Linked DNA regions of Xenopus tropicalis. The protein of the gene in region 5 purifies or fractionates together with the protein of the main gene of each other region. This does not show direct contact. Links are inferred from orthologs where the notes say so. Each region holds a gene or a part of one and is shown on either strand. Other genes may lie near its edges. The genes, in order: btrc, jun, skp1, cul2 and arih1.

Region 1 (6,570 bases), on a different chromosome or scaffold from region 5:
AGCCACATTTAGATGTAGAAATTGTATGAAAAAAAGTTATTTGTCCCAATAAACAGACTCCATAGCCTGCTACAGGTAGCCAACCACATTACACCAACACATCTTGGCTTTAACCACGAATTGATGAAGCCAGATCAAACTTGCATTTCATTATGTTGTGTGCCAGGCACAGTCAGACAACAGCAGTGTTATGGTGTAATCAACAGAAGTGTGTGTCACATAACATTGTGGGATGCCCCAATAGTGCAAGGACTGATGTGAGTGATATACATTCTCTGTGGTGTGCTGTGGCACTTTTTTGTAATTTACAGTCTATAAGGCCTATGACACACTTGTGCTTTATCCACTGTCTCTCAGGCAGAGAACAATGGTGCACAAAATGCCTGTCATTATTTTAAATACAACTGAATAAGAAGCGTCCAACTAAAAGCACACATAGTATTATCAAGTAGACTATGGGCCGAAAATGCACTGCCTCCTACCACTCTGTGTGTGTTTGATAGGTTGCTTTCCATTCAGTAGTAGTAGGAGATGATTTGCTGCTGCTATCTGTCCAAGGGCAGTGGCAGACAGAACACCCCTACGTGCAACAGGCCTTATAGCTAGGGCACATGGGGTGAATGACTGTTTTGAGAATTCCAGATTAGTAGGAATCCACTTGAATATGACACTTTTTAGACACCTATGCTAACTATTCAGTCAGTGGACCCATGGGTCAAGCTTTTCCTAACTGGAAATTTGTGATTGAGCATGTGGTGACCTGTGGGTGCAATGGCATGGTTGGAGCAGTTACTATGAAAGTCTATAAAAAAAAAAAATCAAATTCAAGCATTTTGCCTCCTTCATACTGAGCTTGAAATCATGGAGGTGCCTAAAGCTTGAATTCAACCTGTGTGGCATAGCCCTAAAATATAGCAAGCACTGCCAAGTATTAGGATAAAACTTTTGCATCCAATCCATGGAAATATAGGTATGGGATCTATAAAGCAGAAATCGGTTTTCCAGAAAGCTCCAAAAATCAGACAATCCCATATGCCATAACACCTTTTTCAAACAATTGTTCACATTTGACTGATTCGCTAGTCTCTGAAATAAGTCAGTACCCTGTACTTGATGGTAACAAACCCTTTGGAAAGCAATCCTAATTTGTTTTTTGGTTTTTTTTTTTTTAAAAAGTTTAGTAGCTTCCACATTTAGGAAAAAACTCAGGTCCCAAGCATTCTGGATAACATTTCCCATACCTGTAATGACTTATTTTTAAATTTTTAAAGAAAACAGAACAAAACATTTAAACCATAAAAAGAATGATTAGAAAAAACTAAACAAAGCTAAATCAAATTGTTTTTGTTCACAAAAATAAATAAATAAATAAATCAAAAGATAAAAATAAAAGTTCTTACTGGTGGCTGAAGAGAACATGAAAATCCTTCCATCTCAGTCCTTTTCCAGTTACTGTTTAGAGTTTATATAAATTGTTTCTTAATTAAGTCTCAATGTTATGGTTTCATATAAGCTGATTCCAGAAAATAAAATGATCACAGTTAAATCATTATACCAGAGGTAGTAAAAGGCTATAACAATTGATTACACTTTAAACAAAGACTTCACTTTATAATTAAAAAGTTAATCTGAAAATGCATTGAAGGAACAATCAAATGGAACTAGTAGTGTGAGTTTGAGCTTTCCCACCCACAAAGGTATTGGGCTGAGGGGGGGGGGCATTAACCAGGTTGTTTTGTTGGGCTTAAGTGAGGACTGACAAAGCACTTAGTACATGCCTTTGGAGCAAAGCTATATTTTCCCAGCACATTGGTCAATTCTATCCATCTGAGTGTGGGCAGATCCTATGAAGTTTTCAGGCATCCATGGACTACACAATCCCTAGAAAAGGCCATATAAAACCCTTGAGTCTCTTAGTTGGGTCTTTCCATGAAGCAGGTTTTTTTTTGTTTTTTTTTTTTAATTCCATATGTTCATGTGCTAAATTATATTCATGTTTTAAAGTACAAGGAAAGGTGGATTCACTGAGAGTTAGTATGTTAGCCAGGCCTGGATAAGAATTAAAAATAGGCCCTGACCTATCCACAAATTGCTAGTTACCCAAGTGAATCCAATCACTACATATTTTAGAGATGCACTGAATCCACATTTTATTTTTATTTGGACAAATCCCAAATCTTTCATGAGGGATTCAGGTGAATCGCTAACCAAATCTGAGCCCTAAATTGCATATCCAAATTAAGATAATGGGAAAAACATGCACATATAGCGCAAGTGAATTTGTGATTTCCTTAATCGAGTGACCTAAAGTCAAGTGATTTCAAGGGTTCGAATTCAGTTTGGCAAGACATTTGGATTTGCCTGAATCCAGCTGAAAAAGGCTTCGAACCCTCAAGTTTTTTCCTCATGCCTGTGCTACTTTAAGAAAAAAAAATGTACCAAAATGTAAACAAAACACTGCACCGCCATCTTATCTTATTGCCAGGCATGGGCATAAACAAGTACTAGAAGCCTGGAATAGCACTGGGGTGCTCTGGTAGTTCTTTTACCCTGCTCAGTGCAATTTTTTCAAAAAAGGAGCACCCAGTAAATCCCATTACTAACATATTGGCACCCGCAATGACTCCACCTTTCCTGGGCCACAGAAATTCCTTTGCAGTCACCTTAAAATTCTGACGATATATATTTAAGGCTAGTTCCTTAAAACACACCTTTTTACGCGTATTAAAATAAACAAGATATTTGGGTTATTTAAAGACTCCACCGGTGCAGGTTTTCCAGATATAATCACTTGAGAACAGGTGAATAAATCAGTGGATGAGCTACTGAAGCCACCAATGGACTGGCCTTGTTCTATTGCTGCTTAAATCACGGGTTCCTATTTTCCATGAGATTGAAGCGGAGTGTTTCATAAAATATAATTGTTATGAGCAAAGGGCAAACCTTTGCCTTTTGTTGGACCACAACTCCCAGCATCCCCAAAAGGCAGGAAGCTAGGAACTGTTCTAGGAGATGAGCCAGGTGTGAAGTGACTACCATACTAATTAAAATTTGGTGGTGGACAAGTAGCATTCCACTGAAAGGAATGATATTATATATATATATATATCTATTATAATTACCATCAAATGCTTCATGTATCACCCACAAGCACCCTTGGCCTGTAGTGAGTGCAATATAAATGTGCAATTTTAAAAAGGACCCCACATCCAATTGGATATGCTGCAATGCCTATGTGTTGAGACTGCGCCACTGCAGTGCCGATTAACTACAATTCCCACCATTCTCTCCCGGGAATGACGGGATTTGTAGTTCAGTAGGGGCTGAGGGCCTAGAATCGGACATCCTTCCCCCAAGATAATATAGTTTCCTATCACAGCCCGATATAAGCTCCATAGCGCTGAGGGTATTGTTATATAGCACCGCGGATCGTCAGCCATACCACTCCCAGCAACCCCAGGCGGGCTCCGCGGCCGGCGATATTGGAAGTGGTAGTTTAACATCGGCTTGAGATCCGCAGGCAGAACATCAATGTATAATAGTAATAAGAGTACAAAGAGGACAAAGCAAATACGCAATCAATGCAGCCGGTGATACCCGACAGCCCAGCTTGCACAGTCACCAAGCCCCGACATATTTACTTATAAGCGCGTCTCACAAACGCTCCCCTAAACCCTACAAACCCATCAATATCGCATTAGTACAGCTAAATAGGCTTATCTAGAGCAAATTTTCTATCGATGATATTACCTTTTTATAAGATGCCATCACCCCCAGTACACCCTTATTCAGAGAGGTACTTCCTCATCCGATGACATCATAGTCACATGGTTCCCTTAACTAAGAACGCTACGGCGGCCCGCAAGGAACAAACGTCAGAAAAAAATCGAAGTTGACATCTTTTTAAGACTATATATTCCGATTAAATTTGCATACAGGGTCAGCTCCTCGTGTTTTTCGGAAACTTGTTTTAATCACTTTTTGTCGTAAGAACGATACACAATGATTCATTGATAAGCACTGTAAATACATACGGAAATGGCATTCGTGGCCTGCTCCGACTGATGTGTGTAGAACGTGTAATCAGTGGTTTCCTTATCTGAAATAGCTTGTAAACAATAGACGGATCAGCTTTCATGTATGTGTGGAAGCAGCCAGAAGCCTAGTGTTAGAGGGAAACGCCCTTTTTAACCCTCTTCTGGTATCTTGCTCATAGTAAATAGTGCAGTTAACAAAGTAAACAAAACTAGGCAAATATACAATTATACTGCACAGTTGCTCCCTGTTCTTTATTTGTAATGTGAATCTAATGTTCTAATGTGTATCTCAGTCCTGGGAATTATCCAAAATGTTCAATTAGGGCAGTGCACAAAGGCATTTGACTGGCAGAAAAAGCAGTGCAACTACATTTATGTTATTATTATTATATATTTAAGAAGTAGGGAAGGGTAAGAGATTATGCCCTAGTAGAAGGTCAAGGTTGAAAGTGTGAGGGCAGAGCTATTCAGTTAGCATGAGGACAGAGGGCTAGCGAGCCATAAGCCCCAGTGAAGGTGGCCATACTCTATAGGATCTGCTACTCTGTTGATGCTGGCAAAAAAGCAGATATTTCCCTTGAAATACCCACCTAAGGTGAGCAACATCGGCGTAACCGGATCGTTTGACCCTCGTGCCAAATGATAAGATTACAATGATGGGAATGAGAGCCACAAGGACCACGTGAGTGGCCACCTTTAGTGGGACCCAAGAGTCAGGGTAGAACTAGGGGCACATTTACTAATCCACGAGCGTCCGAAAAGCGTCCAAATGCGTTTTTTTCGTAATGATCAGTATTTTGCATTTTTTCGGAAAATGTTGCAACTTTTTCGTAGCCGTTACGACTTTTTCGCATAATGTCGCAACTTTTTTGTAGCGTTACGACTTGCGCAAATTGTCGCGACTTTTTCGTAGCCTTTGCGCCGAGTACGAAAGTTTCGGATTCATTCAAGCTTCAGTATCGTGACTTTTCTTGGGCCAGGTTGGAGCTGCAGGATGCCATTGAGCCCTATGGGAGACTTTCCTTGGGCCGGGTTGGAGCTGCAGAGTGCCATTGAGCCCTATGGGAGACTTTCCTTGGGCCGGGTTGGAGCTGCAGAGTGCCATTGAGCCCTATGGGAGACTTTCCTTGGGCCGGGTTGGAGCTGCAGAGTGCCATTGAGCCCTATGGGAGACTTTCCTTGGGCCGGGTTGGAGCTGCAGAGTGCCATTGAGCCCTATGGGAGACTTTCCTTGGGCCGGGTTGGAGCTGCAGAGTGCCATTGAGCCCTATGGGAGACTTTCCTTGGGCCGGGTTGGAGCTGCAGAGTGCCATTGAGCCCTATGGGAGACTTTCCTTGGGCCGGGTTGGAGCTGCAGAGTGCCATTGAGCCCTATGGGAGACTTTCCTTGGGCCAGGTTGGAGCTGCAGAGTGCCATTGAGCCCTATGGGAGACTTTCCTTGGGCCAGGTTGGAGCTGCAGGGTGCCATTGAGTCCTATGGGAGGCTTCCAAAATCATGCTAAGTCTGAAAGTTTTGCCTGCAGTTTACGAGCGCTCAATACGAAAAAGTCGCGACAAGATACGAGCAAATCATAACGGCTACGAAAAATTCACGACAATTCGCGCAAGTCATAATGGTTACGAAAAAGTTGCGACAATTTACGAAAAAGTCGTAACGGCTACGAAAAAATCGCAAAATGTTCATTTTCCAATCGGAATTTTTCCCATTCGGATTCGTGGGTTAGTAAATCAGCCCCCTAGTGTCACATGTCAAACACTAGTCCAAGACTGGGGATTCCAACTTCCATGCAGGCCCAGATTTCTAGTAAGGCCACAAAAGGCTGGGCCTAGGGTGGCATAAATTTAGGGCTAGCATGTAAGCGGGTGGTGGGGCGAACGGCCTATGGGCGCCCTCATCTGAAATCCGGTGCTGCTCCCATGTCAACAACACACAGATTCTTCTTAAAGGAAAACTATACCCCCAAACAATGCAGGTCTCTATAATAATATATCACATAAACAAGCTCATGGAAACCCTGCTTCATCTAAATAAGCCATTTTCATAAAAATTTACTTTTTAGTAGTATGTGCCATTGGGTAATCTAAATAGAAAACTGCCATTTAAGGGTGGCCTTCTGGGATCATAGGATTCACAGTGCACAACAACAAGCCAAGGCACACATACATGCTAGGCCCCATCAGCTACACCTCGCCAAGCGAGTGAATCTTAATTTGTATTATTACAGAGAAAAAGGAAATAATTTTTAAAAAAGTTAATTATTTGCTTATAATGGAGTCTATGGCAGATGGCCTTTCTGTAGTTCAGAACTTTCTGGATAACGGGTTTCCGGATAAGGGATCCCATACCTGTATATATATTCCACCTTGGCAAAATTATTTAATAGGTCTCTTAACATAATACAAACTATTTGTTGGTTAAGTATTCATTCTGAGGGTATAGTTTTCCTTTAAGTCAGCGTTTAGTGACCAGTTACTGGAGATCACTTGACGTGAAAGACAAAGTTATTTGACACAAGCTCTGTGGATTCTAAG
Region 2 (6,550 bases), on a different chromosome or scaffold from region 5:
GTCAGTTTCCCAACAAATGGATTACTTTGCCCACATGCCTTTTTTTACATAATGTTGGGAATTCTTTCTCCATGTGAGAGCCAGATCAATTTAATGTTAATTTGCCAGCATGAGGAAATAAGAGGTGTTATCAAGGCTGGGAGCTGTAAAGGAGGGCAACTCTGTCCCTAGACTTCTGTACAAAAGGTGTGGACACCAGAGATGGCATTCTGTTAATGTCAGAACTGGTTTCCATTGCAAAAGATGCATGCAAATGTAATTTCTCCTTGGTTGCTGGTACAGTAGCACTCAGAATTTTAAATACATAAAATTACACTGCAAATATACTTAGCAACACTGTTTCAGCAGTATTCATTTTTGGGAGTTTTCATATCTCTCAGTTTAATTTATGAAAACAGAAACTATGCTTATAATATTATGTAGTAAAGAGCATTTGTATTATTTTTTTTAATGTACCACCTGTTTCAAGCCAAAACAAATAGTGCAAATATTTGTTTGTGCTTTGTATGTATTTTGAATCCTTCCTGTCAGCCTATTTATTGTACCTGGTATACAACCCTCTGCATTTTGCATCCTAATATTTTTTATAAGAATGTTATTTACATCACAAAAAAAAGCAACTTGGGCCTATGCATTCCAACACAGAGCTTATTTTTCAAATATGGGTTAGTCATGGCTGGATCACAAAGTAATTTTCTTTAACAGGAGACAAATGTAATTACTGTTATTCCCAACTTGTTCAGCATAAATCACTGTGTTCATCTAATGTTGTGACTACAATTTCTAATTGCCACTCATAACAGGATAGGTAAAAAGCACACTAGCATCCACAGCTGAGAGGAACAAGCACATTAACCCTAGTGTGGACCAGTCATCTCTGCCCTGTGGGTTTACTTTCCTTAGTGGTGCTTACATGTAGACTTCAATAATCATAGTCATTATAAGGGTAGTTTCCTTCACAAAATATTGTTTACATATAGTACACCACAAAAAGGACTTTTTTAAAAAAAAGTTTTTATAAAATGTACATTTTACAAGGGAATGTGTTTATTTCACACCTCTTGTGTTTCCCAGTAGCACCTTAAGAAACAAGGACTCTAAAATGCTACAGTTTAATAAATTAGTTGGTATATTCTCATCAGTAGCTACTTTAGTTACTACTACTATATCAATTTGTTACACTTTTCTTTTTTCAATAAACTTAGGAAAAGCAACTATTTATCAATTTGTAAAATTGAAGAGGGCTGGCAACCAGTTGGTATTTGTGGTGCACAATTTGGAAATGATTATTTAGCCAATAAGGCTGGAGAATACTGTAAACCATTCCTAACCCCTCAAACATATAATAACAGCAGCAAACTCTTGCCAAAAGCCCAGAACTTTATAATAGCATATATAAATAACCCCAAGTGCTATGATATAAAGAAAATATTGGTCAGTATGTTCTTTTCTGCTTTTACTTTTATATTGCCCAATACCCATATCAAATAATTGTCAAAATATAATACCCTTGAATAGACTCATGCAATATATCAAGTACTATACACAGGAGATAGTTTAACATGCACGTTTATTGCAGTGTAAAAAAAAATATCAATATAAATAAAAAAATCTAATTTCCACATCTTTTATTTAATATCTTAAATATAATTGAACGTCTGGAATTGTCCTTAGAAACAAAAACATAGAAAATTATTATACTTTATTACAAATGGTAAACTCAAGAGTGCTCAATATCTCTTATTTACAGAAAGTAGTGGGTTTATTAACCCAAACATAAAAATAACTTACAAATGCTTGAAGCAATTTTACTGAAATAATTCAGTTTTTCTTAATATTATAATAAAAAAAACAAATATGTACACATACACAGTTATGTAGAAGGCAGGCAGATTTGTCATTAATTTTACTTTTCAATGTCCCGTATGCCTCCCTCCCACACCCTCCCTTTGTAAGAAAACTACGGAAGCAATCTAGTGTCTCTAGCAGTTTAACCTTTTCTTAATACTGAATGATCATCGAATGTTAGGTCCATGCAGGTCTTGGTCAATGTTAAACATGTATCTGATGTTTCATTAGAGCAGGAACAGCACTTGACAAGTGATACTGCTTGTTGCATTGCCACAGGCTCCACCTAAAGGCTTGTCAGGACTCCCCGCACACGCACGTAGAACAGTCAGGTCTCAGTGCCTTTCATTTTGAGCCAGGGAGTTTCAACATGAAACTATTTCCCTCCACAAAATAATTCTCACATCTCTTTCCCAAAGAAGCCTTTTCAGAATGTTTGCATCTGCTGTGTTAACATTAGCTGACACCCACTGTTGACATGATTCATGACTTTTTGTTTGAGCTGGGCTACTTGCTCTCTAAGCATGTTGGCAGTGGATGCCAGTTCAGAGTTCTGGGATTTTAAGTTTTTAACTTTGTCTTCCAACCTGGAAATCCTCTCCAGTTTCCTTTTTCTGCATTTAGATGCTGCGATTCTATTCCTCATACGCTTCCTTTCAGCCTTTATCCTTTCCTGGGACTCCATGTCAATAGGGGACAGTGGAGGAGTCTCCCCAGGCATTTCAGGTACAGTCTGTGGTTCCTCTTTCAGAGCCTGTAACCTGGGGTGCTGCACGGGTATTGGTGGGTTACTCTGATGTTGGCCGGTATACCCCATGGTGTTGCTGTTAAAAGGCGATGATGTGGTGATGGTACTTGGGTTAAAGTTACTTAGATTGGCATACACAGGGGGCTCGTTGTGAAGACTATTGTTGAAGCCAGTGTTTCCAGCAATAGTAGATACAGGTGTCAGTCCCGTGCTGGCAGGTTGGGTGGCAGTGGTTACACTTGGCAAGTTGTTTTGATGGTGGAGTTCTGCCAGTGCCCTAACAAACCCCTCTGCAAAGCCTTCTTGCTCGTCTGTGACATTCTTGGGGCACAGGAACTGGGTGGGGGTCGGGGTGGTGGTAATCATGCCATTGCTGGACTGGATGATAAGCCTCTCCAACTCCGGGGAGGCGAGCTTGAGAAGCCCAACATCAGGGGAGGTGAGCAGTTCAGCTGCCTTGTTTCTCAGGTGAGGTTTGATGGCGCTGCTGGGGTCCGACAGGTTCAGGGTCATGCTTTGCTTCAGCACCTTGTTGTAACCATAGGGAGTAGCATCGTGCTGGGCGAAAGCAGCACTCAGGGCATCTTCGTAGAAAGTAGGTTCCATCCTTGCAGTCATAGAACGGATGCCGGACAGGGACGATGACTGGACCTTACGTTAGTGTGACACCAGCACCAGCCTAGAGAGAAGAGCGAACAGGTTGTTAGCTGACACACCGAACCCCATGGCACCTCCACCCCTCTTCTAAATGGAACTTATGCTTCGCCTGCCGAACTACAACTGGCAGTGTCCCGTAGTGAGAGTTCAAGCACAACTGCTCCCAGCCTGGCACATAACAGAAATAAATGCGACTTACTTTGTGTCTCTAGCAGCAAAGAGGTCCTCGTACTCCGAACGCCACAAAAGTTCTTATAAACTCCCGGGAAAGTTTCCAAAGCGCCGCCGGAGATATGTAATGGCGAGCGCTGGGTGTGTGCGTGTGCCCAGTATAGGTGTCAGGCACACGGACACAAGGAAGAAGTCACTGAGAAGTTAGACGTTCCTTCTCCCCAAGCGCCACAAGTGCTGTCAGTGTGAGCTCTACTCACTTGTACTGGGCTGTGGGACAGCGTGCAGCTAACACTTATCTGCGAGCGGTCACCCACTAAAAATAGACATGATGTCACCCCAACGTCCTGCTATTGGTTGAGCCTTGGGAAGGGAGGCGGGCCAGCGAGGCCAAATGAGCCTCGGTCGCTATGACGACCGCCCTAGAAGATTCTAACTCTCGCGAAGGCTCATGGGATGAGGTAATGCTCCTTTGCCGCTGGGCATTGTGGGCTGACGTATTGTTGTTGGCGGTGCCCGTTCCTTGCTTTGGTAGTTGGGATGGTAGTTTGACGTGGGTTTCCCGCCATAAGGGCTGTTCCGCTCACCCCCTGGTACTGGACAGGGGCTTGAGGCAATTGTATGGTAGTCGTAAGCCGCGGAGGAGACTCATCCCTTTCCTAGCAAAGCGCGATATGGTTGTAATGGTTGTCTGTCACATAAGGAACCGGAGGACTTGGGCTGTGTTTGTCGGCTGGTGAAACTGAAAACTCAGAGTTGAAACAGATTATTTCCACAGGTTTAAGCGATCAGTATGGCAGGTTTTTCAATATGTTGTTTGTTAGTTGCCGAACTAAAATGTGGTAGTGGTTGCTGGGAGTTGTAGTTTTGAAACAACTGGTTATTTTCGGTAGAATGTTATTAGTGTGGTATAGTTTTACTGGCTTTATAGTTATTGTTCTCTTCGCTGTTTTACTTTGTGTAGGACACGGGGGAGACCAAGTTGCAGCCCTCCGGCCATTGCGGGTCCGTGTGTGGGGGTGGGGCTGTATGTGACTAGGAGTTCAACAAGAGCTTGAGGATCGCAACATTGCATAGATACACCAGTGTCAGTGACAGAGAACATGTAAGGCTGTATAGCATCATTGTTATTAAAAGGGTCCCAGTGTTGTGTAGGCATGTGCTACATTCTAATGATCATGCCTTTCTGCACTGGGGTGGATAGCCAGGGAGAAAAGGTGAGGGAAAGTTTTTTTTTTTTTTTTTTTTTTTTTTTTTTTTTTTTTAATTTGGTGGGGGAGGGAGTTTATTGGTGGGTGGGTGTGTAGATTATGATGTGGGCGTTGATGAAAGTAAAAAAAGGATGATTGGAAGCAGGGTGAAGGAGGTAGGGGGAGCGCTGGGGAGGCTTAAAAAGTTTACAGGAGATCAGGTTGCATCCATGAGAACGGAGACTGGCTTTTATGGGTAGAGAGCAGGCAGGCTATTTGGTTTATCACCAAAGTGAATAGAAAATCCTTAGAAATTGATAGAGATCTTGAGTATTAAACCCACTCTTAACAGCTGCTGAGCTACAGCTTCCATGATACCCAGCCATTCCTCCACAGAGGATAGTTCCCTAACTGAGTTGGACATCTTTCATGAAGAGCTGCTGAAAGTGTTAAATAGCAACATTTCTTTTTTGTATATCCACATGGTACAGGAAAACATTAAGAGAAACCATAATGTAAGAATAAGTGCCAAGGTTATTAATGGGTTAAAGAAGAAAGCGGTGAGGAAATCCCTTCTGAGACTGAGCTTTGCAAATAGCATTCTAATTGCATATATAGGATATAGGATTTTTCTCCTAAACTGTTGTTGGTAGGAGATCATGTAATATGTTAACCCCACCCCCTAGGTTAAAAAAAAAAAAAAGTAACAAGTAATTTGTGTCAAATTTTAAATTGGCATTACAGCTGAACTTTTAGCCAGCGTAGATCTGTGGAATATGTTGCTGCTTTATGAATTTTTGGTGAGGATTCCCACCTTGCACATTTCTGGTTTAATTCTGAACAGTGGACTACCAGCTTTAGAGGTAGCATGCTTTCTGTGGGATTCCCCCACACACTCCAAAACACTTGGGGCAGGTGAACTGCCTCCTGATAAAACTCTGATAAAGCACCACTGGAACAGAAACTAATGTAAATTATGAACATTCTCTTAATATTTCATAATAAATTCTTTTGGTTTTTAAACTTGGCATGTTTATGTATAATAGGATTGCAGTATTTTTAATCTTGCTTAGTGCGGCGTATATTACAGTTCTTTTCATTCTCAAAATGTATTCTAAAATTATAACACCAGAACATCCTTCCTCAACAGGATGTTCTTACTCCTATATGGAATAAGCATATTATGAGCAGTAAAGCATCAAATATTTGTTGGGGACTTGATCTGCTTGTTTTGTACTGCAGGGAGTGCACTTGCTTTTTTTTCCCCTGTTACTGGAAATGTGTCCAGTCCTGGGAGAAACTGAGATAATGACCATGTTTTGTGTGTGTGTGTGTGTGTGTGAGCATCAGCTAGCTCCTCCTCTGCAATCATCTAGCCAGAGCTTGTCAAGTACATTTAGTCAAACAGCAGACAGGGCTTTAACCCCTTACAAAAGGGAAACTAAAGTTTTTATGTTCTTTGCACTTATTTTTATAGATCCCTGTAGTTGCAAAACCATGGGAGATTAAATGCATGGATTTCTTTTTCTGTTCCTTTGATAAAATTTAAATATAAGGGCTTTATGTAAATGTAAGGGCTTTAAATGATAAAATGCTAAGTATCTCATGACTGAGTTTCAAAACTAAAAAGGGGCATATAATGAGAATATCAAATAAGATGCATGCGAGAACAAATAGGTGGGTAGTTCTAGGAGATCCACTTGTGCTACTGCTTGTACTTCAGGAAACAAACCAGCTGTCTAGGTGGGCTGAAATTCAACATCATAAAACAAGTGGACTGTTTGGAATTATTTTATTTAGGCAATAACTGTGGGCATAATTTTTTTTTTTTTTTACCTTATACAGGTTTGCAAAGGTAATATGCAACACATTTGTTAATAAAGACATTGCTTTTCCAGTTGTGAGATTATCAAGTATGTTTGTCAACACATTCCTA
Region 3 (6,658 bases), about 66 Mb from region 5:
AGGAACACCAAATATGAAACCAGGAATGAAGCACATAAGGAGAAGGAAAGGTATAATTACTGGGGGTGCCTTATCTGAGACCCTGGGTACTTTTGTAGGAGCACCATGTCAACTTCTAGCCTATTACACTGGGATGGTGCAGTTTCCAGCAACCAGAAACACTGGCCTGGAGTCTCACGTAAGCAATTATAATCAATGGGGGGGGGGGGGGGGGGGGGGGGGGGAGTAAATAACATTTTTGCACTTCCCAATAATTATACCTTTCCGCTCCTATTAAGGATGTGAGAGAACAGAAAAAGAAATATGACTTAACAAATGGGCTCTTGCACTAACCTATTTAGCTCTTTGTTGCAGTAAATGTTTAGCAGTGCTACAGTCTTCTCTTGCACAGAAAAGCAACCAAGGAATTGTCTCAAAACTATGCTTGAGCATCTATTGCACTAAGGAAATGTAAATCATGCTACCTCTCTAAGCTTTTAGAGGGAAAGGTAAACCACTAAAGTCTCCCTGTGACATTCAGAGCTGGGACACCACACAAGATAAATACTCGCACATGAACTTGAGACACGTTCGTTAAAGTATGAAATCAGTGTCTGTATGCATAGAAGGTGAACTTTATATAAAAACAAAAATTCACAACCTCATAACTGCCTGAGTGGCCAATTACACTAAACAGAGAAGAGTCTGTCACATACATGTTCCAGGCAGATTATTTTGCCATACACACAAAACAGCACACATTGTGATTTGCTGCTGAAGTTGCCTTGTCAGAGAAGCCAAAATCTAGGAAATGTAAAGTTCTGTCAAAACACAGTTCTGCAAGAACAGGAGTAGACTACTGTGATGCCATCTTTCATCTTCAAAGCACGCAGCTAACAGGTTTATTATTGTTTTAAAGGAAATATCACACAAGATTACAATGGTTAAAACACGGCTTGAAGATCTGAATTACTCAATAAGAAAAAAAAAAAAAAATGTCAGACACAACACATGCAGCAAAACATCCTCCTGCTAATTTAAGCTGCTGAATTGTCTAGTATAAACAGAGCAGTGCAACTAGTTGATTTGGAACGACTTGTACAGTGTTACAGTGGTAACAGGTATGCAACTTCACTTTTCTTCACACCACTGATTCTCTTTGCGTACCTAAAAGGAAAATAGCATAAAAGAGGTTCATTAATAAATACTCTTGTTGGAGTGGAGATATTGGCTGACACACTTGTAAAAGGAAATAAACTTAAGCGTATAAATATATACCTGAGCTTCTTCCTCCTCAGTAAAGTCGTTTTTGATGTTGAAGGTCTTTCGAATTTCTTCTGGCGTTTTTCCTTTAATCATGTTTGCAACTGTCTTGCAGGTGACATCAAGCAATCCTTTGATATCCAAATAGTTGGCAGCCTGAAGATAAAAAAAAAAAAAAAAAAAAGCAAAATCAAACCAGCCCCCAATTTTTTTTTGACCAGCAAGAACTCAAACCCACCCCTGATTTGCTCACACTCCCTTGTATTTGATATGGTACCAATAGACTGCAGAAAAGCTTATGAATTGGCTTAGAAGCAATATATGTTTATGACAATGACACAAAAGTTATGCAGCTCAATCAGTGCCACCAAGAATGTAGCATCCTTTAGGAGGAACTGGACAAACTGGGAGACTGGCCTGCTAAGTGGCATTCCAAAATATGCAAGGAGCTGGGGTGACTTGTGGAAAATAAACTTAGCTTTAGCAAGCAATGCCAGTCAGCGGAAGGAAGAGCCAGCAAGGTATACAGACTCAGAGGGGAAGTACATATTCCCACTTTAGAAAACACTGGCAAAGGCCCCATCTAGAATATGCAGTGCAGTATTGGTCTCAAATCCTTAAATGGATATTAATGAAATAGTAGCTCTTTTTGGACTCGCTCTAAATTAATGAAGGGTATTTTATGAGGAAAAGTTATCATACGTGCTTTAAGTGGCGTATAAGCACTACATATGAATATGCAAGTGTAATTTATGTATATAGGATTGAGATGAAAAAAAAAAAAATAGTTTCAGCCATTTTCAGTTTGGAAGTTAAATCTATGCTGACTGAGGAATATATGGACATGTGTATGTAAATTTTTAAAAATCTTTTATGAATTAGTGTATAAATTTCTAGTAACTGTTGTGTTATGTGTTAACAAGTAAAATGGCAGCCACGTTTTAATGTATGAATAAAATTATGTGTGTTAAAACTATATTGCTCAGAAGCAACATGCAGATGCCATGTGGATGCCTTTATTGAAGCCACTAAGGACAAAATTATGCACAACGTTTCATATATGTGGGCTCACCCTTACCTCTCAAGTGCAGGAGAACAAGCACACTTTGTTGGAACATGTTAATGGCAAGGTTTTTAAATATCAACTCTCCTACCTCTTTCGGACAAAAACACAAATAATTACTGGCTGTGTTGTGTGTGCACTACCTTCAGGCTGTGTTGTGTGTGCAATACCTTCAGACTGTGTGGTACTTTAAGTTGCAGGTTCCCTTTAAGGTTATTAATACTACTAAGTACAAGTACTAGAAATACACTTATGTAATTCTAATGGGTTCTATAAAAGCTGTTGGGTTTTTTGGTGAGCATGCCTCACCAAAATCAGTTCAAATAGTGTTCCCTGATCCACTTTTAAAAACTCTTGGTCCCACACAGGGATATCATCTGTTCTCTTCTCTTTGTTTTCATCGTCTTCGGGTGGAGGGGGATCATCTTTATGATGTGTACACCACTGAATGACCTGATGAAAATAAAAGTACATAGGTATTTATCTTTATGATTTATACAACTGACTGCATTTGTTGGCCAGGTCCTGAATCCAAGACAATGTGGTACTGCTAAACTTAAGATATGTTCAATTTCATCATTTTGTTGTTTATATGTTAATATAATTCAAGCTAGTAAAAAAAAAAAAAAAAAAAAAAGTAAATCTTGTAACAACCTACACTTGAAGAGCTAAACCAAAAATAGGAGCAATGTCCTCTACTGCCTGAATTAGAGAGCAAGTGTTTCTAGGTCTGAAACAGTATACATCATAACTCAAGAATATGAAACCCCAAACAGCAGGATGAAGTTCCTAATAACCAATAGTTCAGTTTTATTTTTTTACTTGCCAATATGCCTTAAAACCCTGGCATTTATAAGTAGTTCTTCTTCTGGCAGTGATAAGCAAATATAAATAATGTGTGTGTGTGTGTGTGTGTAGGGGGGGGGGAGGCTGTTGCAACTTTTTAATTAACACAATTCTGAATCTGGTACAATTTTTTTGTCCTAATTACATTGCATTATATCCCTGCAGCAAACCAACACCTCTAAAAAAAAAAAAAACAATCTCTAATCTGCATCCAGTATTCTAGTATGGGTATACGTAAAACCACTACCTAAATAGCACTTACTTTTTTAAGGATTGCAGCATTAACATTGGGAAGTGGCACAGGGTCATCATCACCTTCATCATCCATACCCAGATCTGTTTAAAAACATTTAATTGATAACTGTGTCTTGCCAAAAAAATGTAAAAAAAAACCCAAGATAATTTAGACAGAAAGGCAATGTTCTAAAACTATAGTCAAATAAGAGATTTCTCAAGAATTTACACAAAATAAATTTAAACACAACAGAAATATTACAACCAGTTCCTCTGAGGACAATTTTTTTTCAGCAAGACTGCTACTTATTTGTTATATTGGGATCACTGCTGTTATGAGTAGTTTGAAACGCTGTGTACCTGTTATGTAGTGAACAGCACCAAAACTTTTTTTTTTTTTAATAAAAAGCCCTTATTCCATCATTTCCAAATCCTGGATTGTACAAACAATGTTTTCTAAAGTACCCTGTGTACCTGTCTCTTATCAGTGTAAAAGGAGCTACTACCTAAAAAGATAATCCTCCACAAACCCAAGAAATTTCCCAATTTGAAAGTGGATGACAAAATGATTGGAATTACCCCTGACATTTCAATTGCAAATGTCTGTTCACCCAGGTGCACTCAAAGGTCATGCAAATGCTACATAGAAGAAAAATTCCCAGCAATATTGTTTCTGTAAAGGGATTGCTTTTGGAGAGAATCCACTCAATTGCCCAATGTGCCTTTACACCAACACTTTCAAAGCTAGGAGAATAAAAACAAATGAAGACCTGCACACCAGAGGACAAAATTATAAAGAATACATATTCAAAGAATTTTTTTTTAAAAAGTACCTTCCAACATAGTTTTAATTGTTACTGACTGCTTTGCAATTTCAACATCCACTTCAAAAATCTCTCCATCAGAACTCTGCAGCTTTATAGAAGGCATCTGAAAAACAAAAACACATTAATCAACACAAACAGTACTGCTTAGTGAAGTTACTGCAAGCAAAACAGAAAGAAAATCAATTGGTACTTTCAATGAGAGATGATCAGGAAGGCAGCTGTGAAACTCAAGATGCTGCACTGAAGCACATTTAAGCATGGTGAGCAGGAGAGACATGGGAACAAAATGGCAGCAAGCACAGCAAGTGCACTGCAGGCCATTGTAGGCAAGTAGAATCACAGAGTGGCTAACATGGCAACCACCCCCCCAGTGACTATACCTTTCCTTCTGCTTTAATGAAATGCAAACATCATGTTTCATGCCCTGGTTGTCAGTAAGGCAGGGCCAATAAAAATAATCATCTATACAACAGCCCTGGTGCCTGGTTGCTTCAGTCTCTGCCCAAGACCCACACCAACTGTGCAATATACAGTGGTCTGGCACGGCCTAATGAGCAAAGGGAAGAAGCTGCAGCTAGTAGGAATAAGAAGGGGCCTGCCAACTGTTGCCAGCACCCTGCCCTCCACTACCAGGAAGAGAATAAGGAGCTAAAAGCTTTGGGTCTCATCCGGAATGTGCAATTACCGGTACTCTGCAATTTTCAGAGAGCTGTGCAGGAATTGGGAAAATGCACTAAATTCTAACAGCTGTCAACCTGGCACTGCTCCTTTAACAGCCGACTGCAAATGGCTGGACAGCTGGAGATGGATGAACCCTTGTTAACACTGGCCACCATTAGTGTGCACGCAGTACACAAAGGGAAAGTGTCTCTGGCATATATGATGTGGGAAAGACTTACTGAGCAGGTATAACTATGGAAGCAGAACAAAGTAATTACCAACAAAGGGTGTCATTTTACTGCTGCAGTATGACTTTGCCAATAGCAGCCAGGATAATGGCAATTGCCAAGCTCCAAATCTGCATTAGAGGCCATTTGCCCATCCTGCCCAGAAAAAGAATCTGTACATCAATAGTTGACATACAGCCAATTACAGAGAGGACATTTGCTATCCCTGAGCCATGCTTTTCACTCAGCCTCATTTTAAACAAAGGCTTTATGAATTAAAATAACAGAAGTTTGGCCTAGACAGCAACATACAGAGCAGAGTGACTAACAGCACAAGGCAATAGGAATTACCATATTCTGTTAAAAAGAGGACTGGTTATTAAATATCTTAGAGGGGACAGAGTGTACTTGAAATCTTAATTGTGTAGTTAAGCACATTTTTAATCTTACAGGTATGGGATCTAGATTAAGGAGACTCATTATCAAGAAAGCTTTTGGAAATGCCATTTTATTATTGTTTGACCAATTTCCTTTTGCTCTATAATAGTGGATATTTCAAAACGGTGACTGATCCCCTACAAGTTCCATGTGAGAGTCCACTGTGCCCAGGTAAACAAATATACTGTTTAATTTATTATAACAAATATAATGGTTTATAAGGAGTGGGTCCAGCCTACATGGACTTGTCAGACGAGAATGGCATCAAAGTGACAATGCAGTCTTTGCCATGTAGGATTTTCAACCCTGCCGAATATATATCTAATTTTGTTTGGGTATGGATGGGCTGGGTCAGCAGGTGTTAAGACAATAGTTGACTGAAAAGTTTTTCATATACTTTTTCAGGCACTCTACATATTGTAGCCTTCACCATTCCCAGCTACAGTCTGTTGATCTCAATGGTGGCCAATAAAAAGTGCAACAATTTTTTTGCACTAAAAGGAAGTAAACTGCAGGTAAAAATCAGTCCCTGCGTACTAATGTATAATGAAGCAGTAAAATACTTAATAAATAATATAAAAGTCAGTACGGGAATTAAATTTGGCATAGTTGGCCAGCTTTCAGTATATTGCTAAAAGGGGAGGTCATTTCTTAGTAGCTTAATGCACAGAATGTCTTAATGTCCTATATCTATACCTATATCTATCTCTCTCTCTCTCTGTATCTCTCTCTCTCTCTGTATCTCTCTCTCTCTCTGTATCTCTCTCTCTCTCTGTATCTCTCTATATATTGAGAATATCAATATCTTTGGTCTGAAACCTGCATGTCACCACAAAAGCTCATAGCTCAAGCAGTGACCGGCATGTTTTCCTCCAGCTGTGTCATGATCAAAGGTAGCTGCACAAGCAAATGATTGGGCAACTTTAGATTTCACTGCCTAGGGTCTGTATGTTTTGACTAGAAGACTAAAGGAAATCATCAATTATTATATATAACCAATTATTTTACAGGAACTGCAGTTTTTGCTACAAAGGAAGCTACCAATCACCTGCAAGGGAATGCAGACATCAGAAACCACACTCTTGGGGCCATCTTGGCCCCAGTTAAGTTGATAGGCATGA
Region 4 (6,486 bases), on a different chromosome or scaffold from region 5:
TATTTCACGGATTGCTCATGGCTGTTGTGTATTTCAAAATAACTTTTTTCTGCTACAGGTATGGGATCCCTTACCCGGAAACCCGTTATCCAGAAAGTTACGAATTATGGAAAGGCCATCTCCCATAGACTCCATTATAAGCAAATAATTTTAATTTTTAAAAATTATTTCCTTTTTCTCTGTAATTAGAAACCAGTACCTGTACTTGATTCCAAATAAGATATAATTACCCCTTATTGGGGGCAGAACAGTCCTATTGGGTTTATTTAATGGTTAAATGATTCTCTTTTCTCTCTAATAATAAAACAGTACCTGTACTTGATCCCAACTAAGATATAATTAACCCTTATTGGGGGCAGAACAGCCCTATTGGGTTTATTTAATGGTTAAATGATTCCCTTTTCTCTGTAATAATAAAACAGTACCTGTACTTGATTCCAAATAAGATATAATTACCCCTTATTGGGGGCAGAACAGTCCTATTGGGTTTATTCAATATTTAAATGATTTTTAGCAGACTTAAGTTATGGAGATCCAAATTACAGAAAGATCCCTTATCTGGAAAACCCCAGGTCCCAACCATTCTGGATAACAGGTCCCATACCTGTACAATTAATCTGTTTTGCTATCTCTAACTGTAAAATGAAGACTAATGGTATTTTATTAACCTATTTTAAGTAACTGCAGAGTGGGAGCAGATGGTGGGAACAAATGGAGCACACATGTACTCAAAGGGATGTTATGTGCCATGTTATTCTATACAAGTGTGCTTGGGTGTATTATAGTATGTCCAACCTGTTGCCTTTCAGCTGTTGCCCCACCACCAGATCTGTGGGAAAAAGGCAGGAAATCCCTGGTGTATCTCCAGAAAATGTTTACTTATCTTGTATAAAAATACAAAGAGGTATTTATAAACTATGTACAACAGAATATATTGGAAAGATTTCATTTTATGGTGCCATGCAATGGGGGTGCTGCTTGGTATATTGGTGATATTTAAAGTGTATAAGGGTAATTACTTATAGTCCCCAAAAACATGGCCCTAAATACCACCTTCACCTTATAATGTTCTACAGCAGTGGTTCTTAGCCTGTCTGTCTTGGACCCCTTGAGATTTGGGATGAACTCTTATTTGCTATTCTAAATATTCTTAGAAGCATGGCTGAATGTCTGATACAGCAGTGTTTTTGTATGTCTGTCACATCACTATTCTCCAAGTGAAGTCCTAACCGAGTACTGGACCAACAACCTCTGCTCTATGGAGTTTCATTTGTAATGAATGCTGCTGTATGTTGTGCATGTTGAAGTTTATCTAGGGTGAAGACACACAGAGCTACTAGTAGCAGCTACTTGTCGTGGCTACTAAAATAGACAATGCTGATCATTTACTGATAATTGTCTCTACTTGTGTTTTAGCAGAGGTAATTCTCAGTATTGTCTATGGCAGGGGAGTTTCTGAAGTTTAAATAGCCATAAAAAAGTAGCTGCTACTAGTAGCTCAGTGTGTCTTCACCCTTATAGATACTGTAAAATTGCACATGGAAAATCTTGATTTCCACATGATATGTCTCTTTTAACATGTCTGTATATTTTTGGAACATGGTAACAAATCCATAATACCTGAGAAATCTTCCAAACACTGGGAGAAACTCCCAGTGCATATAGTGATCTGGTTCTTTTGCCACAAGGCAGTAATAAGCATTATAATGGTTGTTCACCTTTGTCTTAACTTTTAGTATGATTTAGTAATTTAATTATTTCAATTTTTGTTCAGCAATTTCAGCAGCGTTCTGGTTGCTATGGCTCAAATTACCTTAGCAACAAAGAAGTGGTTTGAATGAGACTAGACGATGAGTAGGAGAGGACCTGAATAAAAAATAACTGATACAAAGTAATAATAACAATAAAATTGTCACCTCACAGAGCAATCATTTCTTGGCTACTGAGGGGGGCAGTGACCCCCATGTGAAAGTTGGAAAGACAGCAGCGAATAATTTAAAAACAAAAGTAAAGTTGATTATAATAAGTCATTGTGCAAGATTGTTACAAACATAAAGCTCAATAAACTTAAAATAAACAAACGGAAACTTTAACAAATTCGCAATGCCTTTTTGGTGAAATTGGGATAAGAATTGTTGAGCAGAACACAGAAATGATATTATATTGGGAGGCACGGCAGGGGGCAAACAACACAATATAGTCTTGTTGTTGTTATTAGAAGTAGAAGTAGGAGGTGCGATGACAGGAAAAGCAGATTGCGAGCTGACCTAACGCAACCTACCCGCAGCTTCACTCCCACAGGGCGGCTACGTGTGCGTCACTGCGTCACTGCGCGTACGTCTAGCCGTAATCTCGCGTGATGAGACTAGGCGTTGGGCTTGTGTGTAAGACAGGAGGCTGGGACCCTGCACTGGACAGCTTTGCGGGAGGTGTAAGTAGCGCTGTGGGACTGCGGACTGTGCTAGGGATAGCGGGACTGTGGGGCAGCAGCCACTGACTTACCGGCCCCCCTGCTGTCACTGACTGGGAGACTTGAGCAGAGAGGGCGGGAGGCTGAATGTTCCCTTCCCAGCTCTCTGTGCTGCTCGTTTTGTCACAGAAGTTTTCGGCAAGGTAGAGGTGTATAGGGATTGGGTAATATTGAGAATGAAGTTTGGACCCCCCCCAGCCTATGTAGTCCCCATAGATCTCTACATAAGTAAAACTGTGTAAAAGGCAGCAGTACAGCTGTGTAGGGGGAAGAACATGCACAGACACCTGAGCCCTGCCCTTCCTTGTGTCAGCAGCTGACTGTCAGCTGGGGGCCCAGTAAGCCAGGGAAGTGTAGCACAGCTGAACTGAGAGCCAAAACCCAGCAGGCCCTACACGACTGTGTCCTCTCTTCCCCCCAGTGGTTGCACTTTCTATAAACAGAAACCGAGAAACAGCTGATCCACCTTTCCACTTACTATTCTGACAGCACTGACAGGCATGGGGTTGGACTGCAGATTTCCACTCAAAAAATGCATCATTTCCTGTTTTTGCCCCAAATTGGCTCTGTGTCTGCTCTCAAACCATAGCATTGCCTGTCAGTGCAAAAAGAAGAGCAAGTGGAGGAGAATGGATTGGCTTACATGTATACACAGGCCCAGAAACAGCCACATCTGCTTGATCCTTAAGGGTGAAGACACACAGAGCTACTTAGTAGCAGCTACTTGTCAAGGCTACCAAACCCCAGAAAATACCCTGCCATAGACAATGCAGAGAATTGCCGCTGCTAAAACATACATAGAGACAATTATCAGTAAATGATCAGCATTGTCTGTTTTAGTAGCCATGACAAGGGTGAAGACACATGGAGCTACTAGTAGCAACTACTTGTCGTGGCTACTAAAATACAATGCTGATCATTTGCTGATAATTGTCTCTACGTGTGTTTTAGCAGAGGCAATTCTCAGTGTTGTCTATGGCAGGGGATTTTCTGGTGTTTAGTAGCTGTGAAAAAGTGGCTGCTACAAGTAGCTCTGTGTGTCTTTACCCTAAAGAGGCTATTCATGTCTGGTAAAATTCTGGTACTGTAAGGAAAAAATCATGTAGACAGGTATGTACATATAAGCAGCAAGACCCTGATTAGGTTCCACCTGAGGATGGATGTTGATTTGTGAGACTGCATTTGCCCATTAGCTGCCCTCCCCTCCCTCCCTGATTTTGGCAGTGTTATCAGAGCCCACACTGAAATAAGAAGGCAGCCATAATGTCTATGTTGCAGCTTATCAGTTCATCTGCCTGCCAAGTGATGGGAGAATAGTGATGACGTGTGTAGTGCAAAGATCAAATGTTCATGACTAGTGCAATCATTTGCATTGTTTGGGGTGCGCTTTACTTGGTTGGCAGCAAGATTTGTTTGGGTGGAGATCCAGGGGATGAAAAAGATGCCAGAGAGTAAACAGATTGAAAAATTGCTGCAGCGATTGTGAATTCATTTTTGTATTTACATGTATGATTATTTTGGCTGAAGGGCCCATAACCCTAATGTCTTGGCACTAGGCTGGTGCCAAAAAAGCTACTGTCATTCAGGGTCAGCCAAATTCCGTTTTGATATGTACATGAATATGCTAGCACACATCTTCCAACTGAGTCACACTCCGAATGCATAAAGCTTAGCTTATATTGAAGCATCTATAAAAACCATATATGCTAGCGCACATACGTGTATAAATATATTGATTGCCAGTTACTATGTAACATTCTGTTTAGTGCCTCGGTTTGTTCGATTTTGGAGCAGACTAATACTTTTTGGCAACATTTTTACTACCCTTTTATCAGCTAAAACAATTTGTACATTTTGTTGATAACATAGGTAGATATGGCAGGAACAGGAAATGCTAATTGATTAAGTAGTGCTCAGTTTGAGTCTAACTGCTTCGCTGTTATCTGCACTGTCAAGTCAGAGCGCCCTTTAAGACCAGAACATTTATATTTATAGTTAATCACCTGCTCGTATCTGTCAGTGGCTTGTTACTTGGTTTTTAACTTGTGAAATTACTTCTGCTCTTGCAGAAACTGAAACGTAACCTGTTGTGCATACACTTCCTGCCTTTGCCTGTCTGTAACCTCTTGAGCTAACACTTTAGAGTGTCGTTGGACTGGATTACATATGCCACTACTACATGAGATGTAAGGATATAATTAATTTATTTTTAGTCAAAGATAAACAAAGTCTAAGCAGAAAGCGCCTAAGAAATAAGTGAAAGATCCCATATCTTAAGATGTGCTTGAATTATGGAAAGCCCCACAAAATAAGTCTGAAGGTATGCAGTTCAGCAATACTGCAGTATTTCTTCCACCCAGTTGGGTGGTTACTTACAAAATCACAATCTGGTTATAACAATTCAAAATCTATCATAGAGGGAATCCTTACCTTTCCCAGCAGTGATGCAAATCTCACTCTCTCCAAATTTTTCTGCGCAAGATTTTTCACATACAGAATGTAAATATATACCGTAATACAATTTTTATTTCAGTAAAAACTTTCCATCTTAAAAAATGAGCACTCACAAATGCTGCATAGATTAATTGCATTCCATAATAGTTATAAGCCAAACTTCCATAAAATCCTGGATATAGGGTCTGTTAAAGTCCACATTTTCCAACCATTAAAGGAACAGTGTCAAAAACTGGGTAACCGCCTATATTAACCCTGAGTAATGTGGCTGTAATGTTTATAAGTGGTTTGCATATTTTTAAATCCCTAACACATTTGCACCTTTTAGTGAAGGGGGTCTCTCACTGATAAATACACCTTTATGACCACACAGGGTTCTTTCCAAACATGGATCTATTGTTTGTTATACGAGTGTGTTAACACTATATTGGACACTTTATTCACCTTATTCCTTTCATAAAGGTTCAAAGATATTTTACTATTGGTGTACACTCATTGATTATACTATTTTGTATGGTTGTATTTAGTTCCACCTAATTGGGACTGTAAGTGGGCCTACTCACAGTGCAAAATGTGCCACTATGTTTGGTTTATTTTATCCATATGTGATTTGATGGCTTGCTTTTTAGTCAGAAAAAAACTGATGATGTTATTGTGTTAGAGACAAGGCTTCCTTGCACCCACCAGCTCTGCTGGATTTTTAATCTTGTACATTGTGCAGCGGGCATAAAGAACCCAAGCGGTTTATTGTAAATGACCACTTTTGTATTTTGAACAGTTAAATCTAAATGTCTGATGTTTACAATGGTATTCTAAGACTAAGTGGAGTTTTTTTTTATTGGAAAATGTCCATATATGAGGTGCTAGAAGAAAGTCTATTTATGTGTGTAAATAATTTTTTTTTATTATTACACCATAACAGACTAAACAGATATGTTTTGAGTCTGGAATGGAGGGAAAGAGTGGGGATATGAGAAATTAAGAATATCTTCCAGATAAACAGGGTCTTTATTATTATGATATATAATAGCGAAAGGGGCAATTTTGAAGGGAATCCTCCATGTAATTGGAAACCAATGTAGGGTAATGTGGCATTGGCAGTGTCGATGAGTAGCCTGGCTGCTGTATTTTGTATCAGCTGTAATTGGTACAGTCCTTTTTCTGACAGACCATAATACAGGGGCATTGCAGTAATCCAGTCGTAAGGAAACAAAAACATTAAATTAATTTTGTCATTGGCAACCTTGCCAAATGAGCGGATCTTACCGTGTATGGCCAGCTTTACATGGTTGATTTCATTTGCTGATGGCAAACCGCTATTAATTCCTACATCCTGGAAATGTACTGGTTCTTCCAGTTGTTAGGAAGGTAATTATACATAACATTCATAAAATAAATTCACATAGATGCTAAACGAAAAGAAAAATCTTATCCATCTAGATACTAAACATAACACATGTGATTATGAGGTGACTAGCTGGCCTCTTGGTAGTCCCTTATGGATCGCATTGTTCATTTGAAATTCCTGGACTGTAATAATCCATAATGAGCAGTACTGGGCA
Region 5 (5,986 bases):
AGAGCAGCATTTCATTAGAAGATGGAAGCTCTACTCACCTCTTGAGCATCTCGAGCAGCCTTTGCATCATCCTCATTGTAACGGTTACAATTATACCTGTAAGAGAGCAATGTAAGATATGGGAATGCTTATAATGTCCAGAAATTACCTTGAGATGATCATAAACTTTGCATTAAACCTGTTGATATACACTAAATATGTTGGAATGTATATGGGGTCCTTAGGGCTCTGGCACACGGGGAGATTAGTCGCTCGCGACAAATCTCCCTGTTCGCGGGCGACTAATCTCCCCGTATGCCATCCCACTGGCGATTTACATTTTCGCCGGTGGGATGGGATTTCGGGGAGATTAGTCGCTCGCGAACAGGGAGATTTGTCACGGGCGACTTATCTCCCTGTGTGCCAGAGCCCTTAAACGTAAAATGTGTACTTTTTAAAAAGTTTAACAGGATGCCACAGTCAATATCCAAATCTAGTTTATATTTGTACAGAACCTTTCTTATCTGTATATTTGCATTTACAAAGTGGGGTGCTTCGCCTTTAAGTTAATTTTTAGTATGTTACAGAATGGCCAATTTTAAGTAGCTTTTCAACTGGTCTTAATTTTTTCATTTATTTTGTATAGTTTTTAAATTATTTGCCTTCTTTTTCTGACTCCCAGCTTTTAAATGGGAGTGACTGACCCCAGCAGGCAACATTTTATTGTTTCTTTTTATTGCTTATCTTTCTATTCAGACCCTCTCCTACTCATATTTCTGCATCTCATTTAAACCATTCCCTGGTTATTAAGATCATTTGGACCCTAGCAATCAGATAGCTGCTGAAATTCCAAATTAGAAAGATGCTTAACAAAAATGGAAATGTTAGAAAAAACACAAATAAAAAAAAAAACGAATACCAATAGCACTCTCTCTCCATCATTCTAAAAGTTAACATACCACCATGTACTCTACAGCAAGTGGCTTGTACTGTACAGCACTGGAGTGAGTGGTGTAAATGTTGCTGGCATTGAAGCAGTGGCATTCTATGATATTTATCAATCTCTCAGGCAGATAGATGACTAACCACAAGGTTATTTGGCAGTCAAGCACAAATCCCACAAACAGGTGTAGTAAAATAAATGTACATGGTTTAGTTTAGTCAAAAGTAGTAAACAAAACTAAATTATAGGCTGACAGATGAGTCTGGGTTTGGGGGTGCAAAGAGAAAGCTACCTATGCAAATACATAATTCTCGAAGAAAAACAGCCTGAGGGGCTGTTTTCATGATGTAGACTAGCACCTCTGATGCCATTGATGGCACTGATAACGACATTTTTGATAATGCTGTCCTTCCTACTACGTGGGAACAGTTTCCCTGTCCTTTCATGCCTTCCCTGTTTTGGCATGAAACAAAGCCCATAAAGACCTGGTTTGCTGAGATAGGAGTAAGAACTTAGCTAGTTTGGCTAAGAGCAAATGCAGGGTTGTGAACGTCAAATGTTCCAACAGTGAGGGCATATAAGCACAATTTGAAAAAGAATCCCTATACTAACACTTGGCTTAGGCAGGTGTTAGGGGAGACATGCCCTTGAGCCAAAAGGTGTTGCACAAAGAGCAAATGTGTGCATAGAGCAAGTATCAATAAGCTGAAGCAGCTTGTATATTTGTAGGTATAATTAAGTACACCCACTTTTGAACCTAGTGATTGTAAATAGCCTTAAACTGTTTATATACTTACCAAGCAGAACCATGAGGCTCCCATGGACCCAGGCAAACCCAGCAGAACTCTGCTTTGCAATTCTGGTTCCGGCATACCATGTGATTGCAACCTCCATCCTTCTCTATTGTCACATGACATTTTGGGCACTCCTGTTATGCAAAGAAAAAAAAAAAAAAGGAAACCAGGAAAAGAATGATACGTGTGCCATTTTCAAATTACTTATAACTAACTAATAAGGCATTAAGGTTGGAAAATTTCTCTCTCTAACGTAGAGAAAGGGGGTATTTTTTTCTGGGGTCTAATAAAAAATTCAGATAGTTTTATTCATTATTATTACAAAGCTTAATGCTGTGTTTGTACAATGCCACCTTGATTGTATACAAAATCTTTTAAAAAATGTATCAGGTTTCTACTGCAGGCTGTACATCAGCTATGAGTCTGAAAAGAAGTCAAGTAGAATTTCCCTTCTGTTCTGTGGCCTAGCTAATTTCAGGTAAGAGCAAAAGGCCTAACGTAGATAGAAGTGGTAAGGTTTGTATCCTGCTAGACTAGTATCCCATTTGCAGACTGAAACAGCACACCTCTCCTAAGAACAAAAATGAAAAGTGCTAATTAAAACTATAGGCAAAGTATGGCCAGAACAAGCCCTATTCATTGAGCTCCTACTAATGAAAAAAAAAAAGTACTACTACTACCTAATTATAGGAGTAATGTGCAAACTTTGGCAAATAGTAAAAGGAAACTATACTGTAATAGGAAAATAAAGGAGGAATGAGCAAAGGTCATCTTAAAGGAATACTGTTATGGGAAAACATGTTTTTCAAAACGTTAAGGGCTCTGGCACACGGGGAGATTAGTCGCCCGCGGCAAAACTCCCTTTTCGCGGGCGACTAATCTCCCCGAGTTGCCTTCCCCTGCCATCCCACCTCGCGAGTCTTTTTCGGCGATTTGCGCGAAATCGCGCCGCCGCGTCCCGCCGGCGACTTACATGTTCGCCGGTGGGATGGCAGGGGAAGGCAACCCAGGGAGAGCCCTAATAGAGCTTCTCCAACAGAATCCTACAAATCTGTTTTTTAAAAGCAAACACATTTTTTTACTACTGAGTTAAAAGCAGCCGATCAGCAGAACAATGGGAAGGTACAAGATAGCAGCTCCCGGTAGATATCAGAATAGGACTCTTCCAGTTACATGGCAGTAGGAGAAACAATAGGTTACCTGAAAGCAGTTCTAATGTGTAGCGCTGGCTCCTTCTGAAAGCTCAGACTCAGGCACAATGCACTGAGATGGCTGCCTACACACCAATATTACAACTAAAAAAATACATTTGTTGGTTCAAGAATAAAATTTGAAATGGTCAATTGCTATGTATACAGTGTAATTTAAAAATAAAATACATGACAGAATCCATTAAGCCCACATGTGACTGTGTAAGAGAAGTAGAGAAATTTTTTTCCTAATAAAAACAATATGCAAGAAGTATGTTCAGAGCCTATTTATTGAACAAGGCAGTATACAGCCCGTTTTAACGATGGCTGGGAGGGGGGGGGGGGGTCAGCGATAAATAGGCCTCGCCCATCCCTTCAGAAAACTGATCAGAGAGACAGAAGCAGGACTAATTTAACAGGTATAAGTAGCTTTTAAAGTGGCTTTTACAATGGTCTTTTTACTTTTTTTTTTAATGGAAAATGGATTTTCTAACACACTGAGTGCATTGTTCGTGGTTTAATAAGATTTGGACGTTGAAGGTGAACAACCTCTTTAAGATGGCCATACATTGTAAGATTCACTCCCCAAACAAGTGAATCTTTACCGCAATATGCCCAACCGCCCTAAAAGAAGCACAATTGAATTGAAACAAATAATTATAACAACTGAATGTAGCAACCATTACCACATGTACAATCCTTAACATACATTTGTCCATTCCCACTAAAATTACATTACATAGTGTGGTCTCAAACATTCATTCCTTACCTTGGTATTAGCTGCAATCCAATTTGATGTTTCACTGTCATCATCACACTTCTTAATCCATTTCTTTAACCACTATTAAGAGAACGTGTTTGTATGTTTTCATTATGCACTTTATATTCCCTTTCTTAAGTTTCTAGGGTTTCATAAAGCCATAGTAATAACCACTGATACTTGAAACCAAATCATTATTTTTGCCACATCTAACAATTTGCACAAAATTACAATGACAAAATATTATTTTTAAACAAAAATACAACATACTATATGCTGCATATCACATGTTCCATATGTAGTGTGGCCCTAATATTTCTAAAACCAACATCCTGCTTTTTCATTGATACTTATGTCTCCTATTACAGCAATCTCTCCCCTGTGATAATCACGCTGTCTGATCATTGATTTTTATCAAAGACTACTAATAAATTTGTTAAAAAGAAAAACCTACTGCACAGAGTTGTATGCCTGTAATGTTAACACCACTGACAGGATAGTAACAGAATGGGGTATGCCATAGCTGTTGACAGGGACATCAAAAAAACAAGAGGTTTCCAAACTGTGGGGTTGAGCCCCTGGAGGATTGTTGGGTAAGGTTTAGCAGTAATTAATATCTTACAGTTTGACTATTCCAAAAACTGCAGCAAGACAACCATTAAAGGAGAGTTGCCATCACACAAACACATCAGTGTCTGCAGCTTAAGGTCCCCTCACCCTGTAACTGCAACCCTTAGCTACTCTGTGTAACAGTAGCACAGGGGGTTTTGCCCACCACCATGGCCATGCACAGTAGAAACCACTACTTCCATTGGATAACCACATTTTGGATGAAAAAGGGAGCTTTCTGTAGGTTCATAAACTATGAAGATTAACCACAGAATTTTAGATTTACTTTAACATTAAAATGGTGCAAAGAGCTGTCATTTCAGCCATCATATCTGATTTCCCTTTAAACATTGATATTAAATCCACACAATTCTCCATTATAATTTCCAAACAGGGTGTGTTTGTTTTATGGTTTCTTACCTTACATTTAACTGGGTCATGCCAATTTTCTCCACAGTTAAAGCTGTAAAGTAAAAGAGGAAATAGTGAGAATGTAAAGAGAATCAAATGTTTAAAACTCCTTATTAACACTACAACAAAAATTATATATAAAAAAGAAATTTCTAATACATTCATAAACATAACATAACATAACATACAAGTAAAAAATCTTTATTAAAAAAAACAAAAGATCTTCATATAGATACATACAGATATATGTTACTGCATATACTACTTTTTTGTTTAGGGTAGTAATTTCAATTTCAATGCTAATATACTTCTTTGTTTCAGCAGAGTACAACAGGAAATTTCCTGATCAGGAAGAGAACTGTGTAGATTTACTAATACCCTTCTTGATGAGAGACTGCATTTGCAATATCTGAATCTGCAAAGCTGATGTGCAGTCAAGAGATCGTAAACTTGTTTAGGCTCCAATTGTCCATTTTCAGTGTCTAGCAAATATGACAAAGTTTTGCTAATTTTCTATAGCATTTTGTCTCTCTCTAATATTGTGTTTATGTCTTCCACTTTTTCCATTCACATTTTGTTTTTTTAACATTTCATGTTTCATCATGCTTTATAAGAAATACGTTATATAAGTTTTAAAAGATCATTTTAAAATAACATTAACAGACAGTGCCATAAGGCAACAGTTATTGAAAAAAATTGGAAAGGGTGGTATACAAAATTACATGGATGCACATTAAGGCCTTAATTTTTCTCTTTAGCAATGTTTTCAGAGGAGAAGTATAGTCCATTTTTCCATTGGGGGGCATCCAGTAGATATGGCTGCAATTTTTTCATAGGGGTAGTGTAGATTCAGTTCCCTAATAATGTGTGGAATAGTCAGGCTCTCTGTTGATTTACATTTTTGTGCAATTAATTGGCAAATCACATAAACCACATAAGAAATGAAAGAGTGGAATTGTGTGGGGGTGTCAGGGGTGATAAAACCCAGAAGTATTAAGTCGGGTGATATAGTCACTTGTAGGTCCAAGGCTTCCTTTATAAGATGTTCAAGTTTTTTTCCATAGGGAAAGTAGTGCTGGACAACCCCACCTCACAAATGTACTTTAAAAATTAGAATACGTTATTCACAATGTCAATGTATGTTAAAAAAAAAAAAAAAAAAACACAGTATAGAAAGTAGTCAAAACTGCTCTTCAATTTCTTACCAGAACTGTCGACCGCACTTGCAGCGCACAGGTTTTGCGTCAGGATACTGAACCTTTACCACATGGTGGCAATCTGGAGCAGGGCACCACTTCAA

The links.
Region 1: the proteins of arih1 (region 5) and btrc purify together in Homo sapiens (affinity purification with mass spectrometry; 3 studies listed by BioGRID and IntAct, counting the BioPlex papers as one, with this or other methods). This does not show direct contact. The link is inferred for Xenopus tropicalis from reciprocal best matches to the Homo sapiens genes ARIH1 and BTRC.
Region 2: the proteins of arih1 (region 5) and jun purify together in Homo sapiens (affinity purification with mass spectrometry; 3 studies listed by BioGRID and IntAct, counting the BioPlex papers as one, with this or other methods). This does not show direct contact. The link is inferred for Xenopus tropicalis from reciprocal best matches to the Homo sapiens genes ARIH1 and JUN.
Region 3: the proteins of arih1 (region 5) and skp1 purify together in Homo sapiens (affinity purification with mass spectrometry; 4 studies listed by BioGRID and IntAct, with this or other methods). This does not show direct contact. The link is inferred for Xenopus tropicalis from reciprocal best matches to the Homo sapiens genes ARIH1 and SKP1.
Region 4: the proteins of arih1 (region 5) and cul2 purify together in Homo sapiens (affinity purification with western blotting; 3 studies listed by BioGRID and IntAct, with this or other methods). This does not show direct contact. The link is inferred for Xenopus tropicalis from reciprocal best matches to the Homo sapiens genes ARIH1 and CUL2.

The regions. Positions count from the first base shown.
Region 1 is NC_030683.2:30,526,744-30,533,313, reverse strand, and holds the start of btrc (F-box/WD repeat-containing protein 1A), read right to left. Parts: upstream 3,795-6,570; 5' UTR 3,769-3,794; coding exon of another isoform or gene 3,751-3,768; intron 1,514-3,750; 5' UTR 1,453-1,513; coding exon of another isoform or gene 1,434-1,452; coding exon 1,401-1,433; intron 1-1,400. UniProt on the Homo sapiens protein: Substrate recognition component of a SCF (SKP1-CUL1-F-box protein) E3 ubiquitin-protein ligase complex which mediates the ubiquitination and subsequent proteasomal degradation of target proteins. Recognizes and binds to phosphorylated target proteins.
Region 2 is NC_030680.2:86,737,011-86,743,560, reverse strand, and holds jun (transcription factor AP-1), read right to left. Parts: upstream 3,720-6,550; 5' UTR 3,215-3,719; coding exon 2,276-3,214; 3' UTR 1,553-2,275; downstream 1-1,552. UniProt on the Homo sapiens protein: Transcription factor that recognizes and binds to the AP-1 consensus motif 5'-TGA[GC]TCA-3'.
Region 3 is NC_030679.2:26,566,546-26,573,203, reverse strand, and holds skp1 (S-phase kinase-associated protein 1), read right to left. Parts: upstream 4,318-6,658; 5' UTR 4,316-4,317; coding exon 4,219-4,315; intron 3,488-4,218; coding exon 3,414-3,487; intron 2,759-3,413; coding exon 2,615-2,758; intron 1,399-2,614; coding exon 1,258-1,398; intron 1,147-1,257; coding exon 1,111-1,146; 3' UTR 852-1,110; downstream 1-851. UniProt on the Homo sapiens protein: Essential component of the SCF (SKP1-CUL1-F-box protein) ubiquitin ligase complex, which mediates the ubiquitination of proteins involved in cell cycle progression, signal transduction and transcription.
Region 4 is NC_030682.2:21,642,379-21,648,864, forward strand, and holds the start of cul2 (cullin-2), read left to right. Parts: upstream 1-2,282; 5' UTR 2,283-2,431; intron 2,432-4,544; exon of another isoform or gene 4,545-4,656; intron 4,657-6,486.
Region 5 is NC_030679.2:92,183,774-92,189,759, reverse strand, and holds part of arih1 (E3 ubiquitin-protein ligase arih1), read right to left. Parts: coding exon 5,892-5,986; intron 4,739-5,891; coding exon 4,696-4,738; intron 3,748-4,695; coding exon 3,676-3,747; intron 1,851-3,675; coding exon 1,720-1,850; intron 97-1,719; coding exon 39-96; intron 1-38. UniProt on the Homo sapiens protein: E3 ubiquitin-protein ligase, which catalyzes ubiquitination of target proteins together with ubiquitin-conjugating enzyme E2 UBE2L3.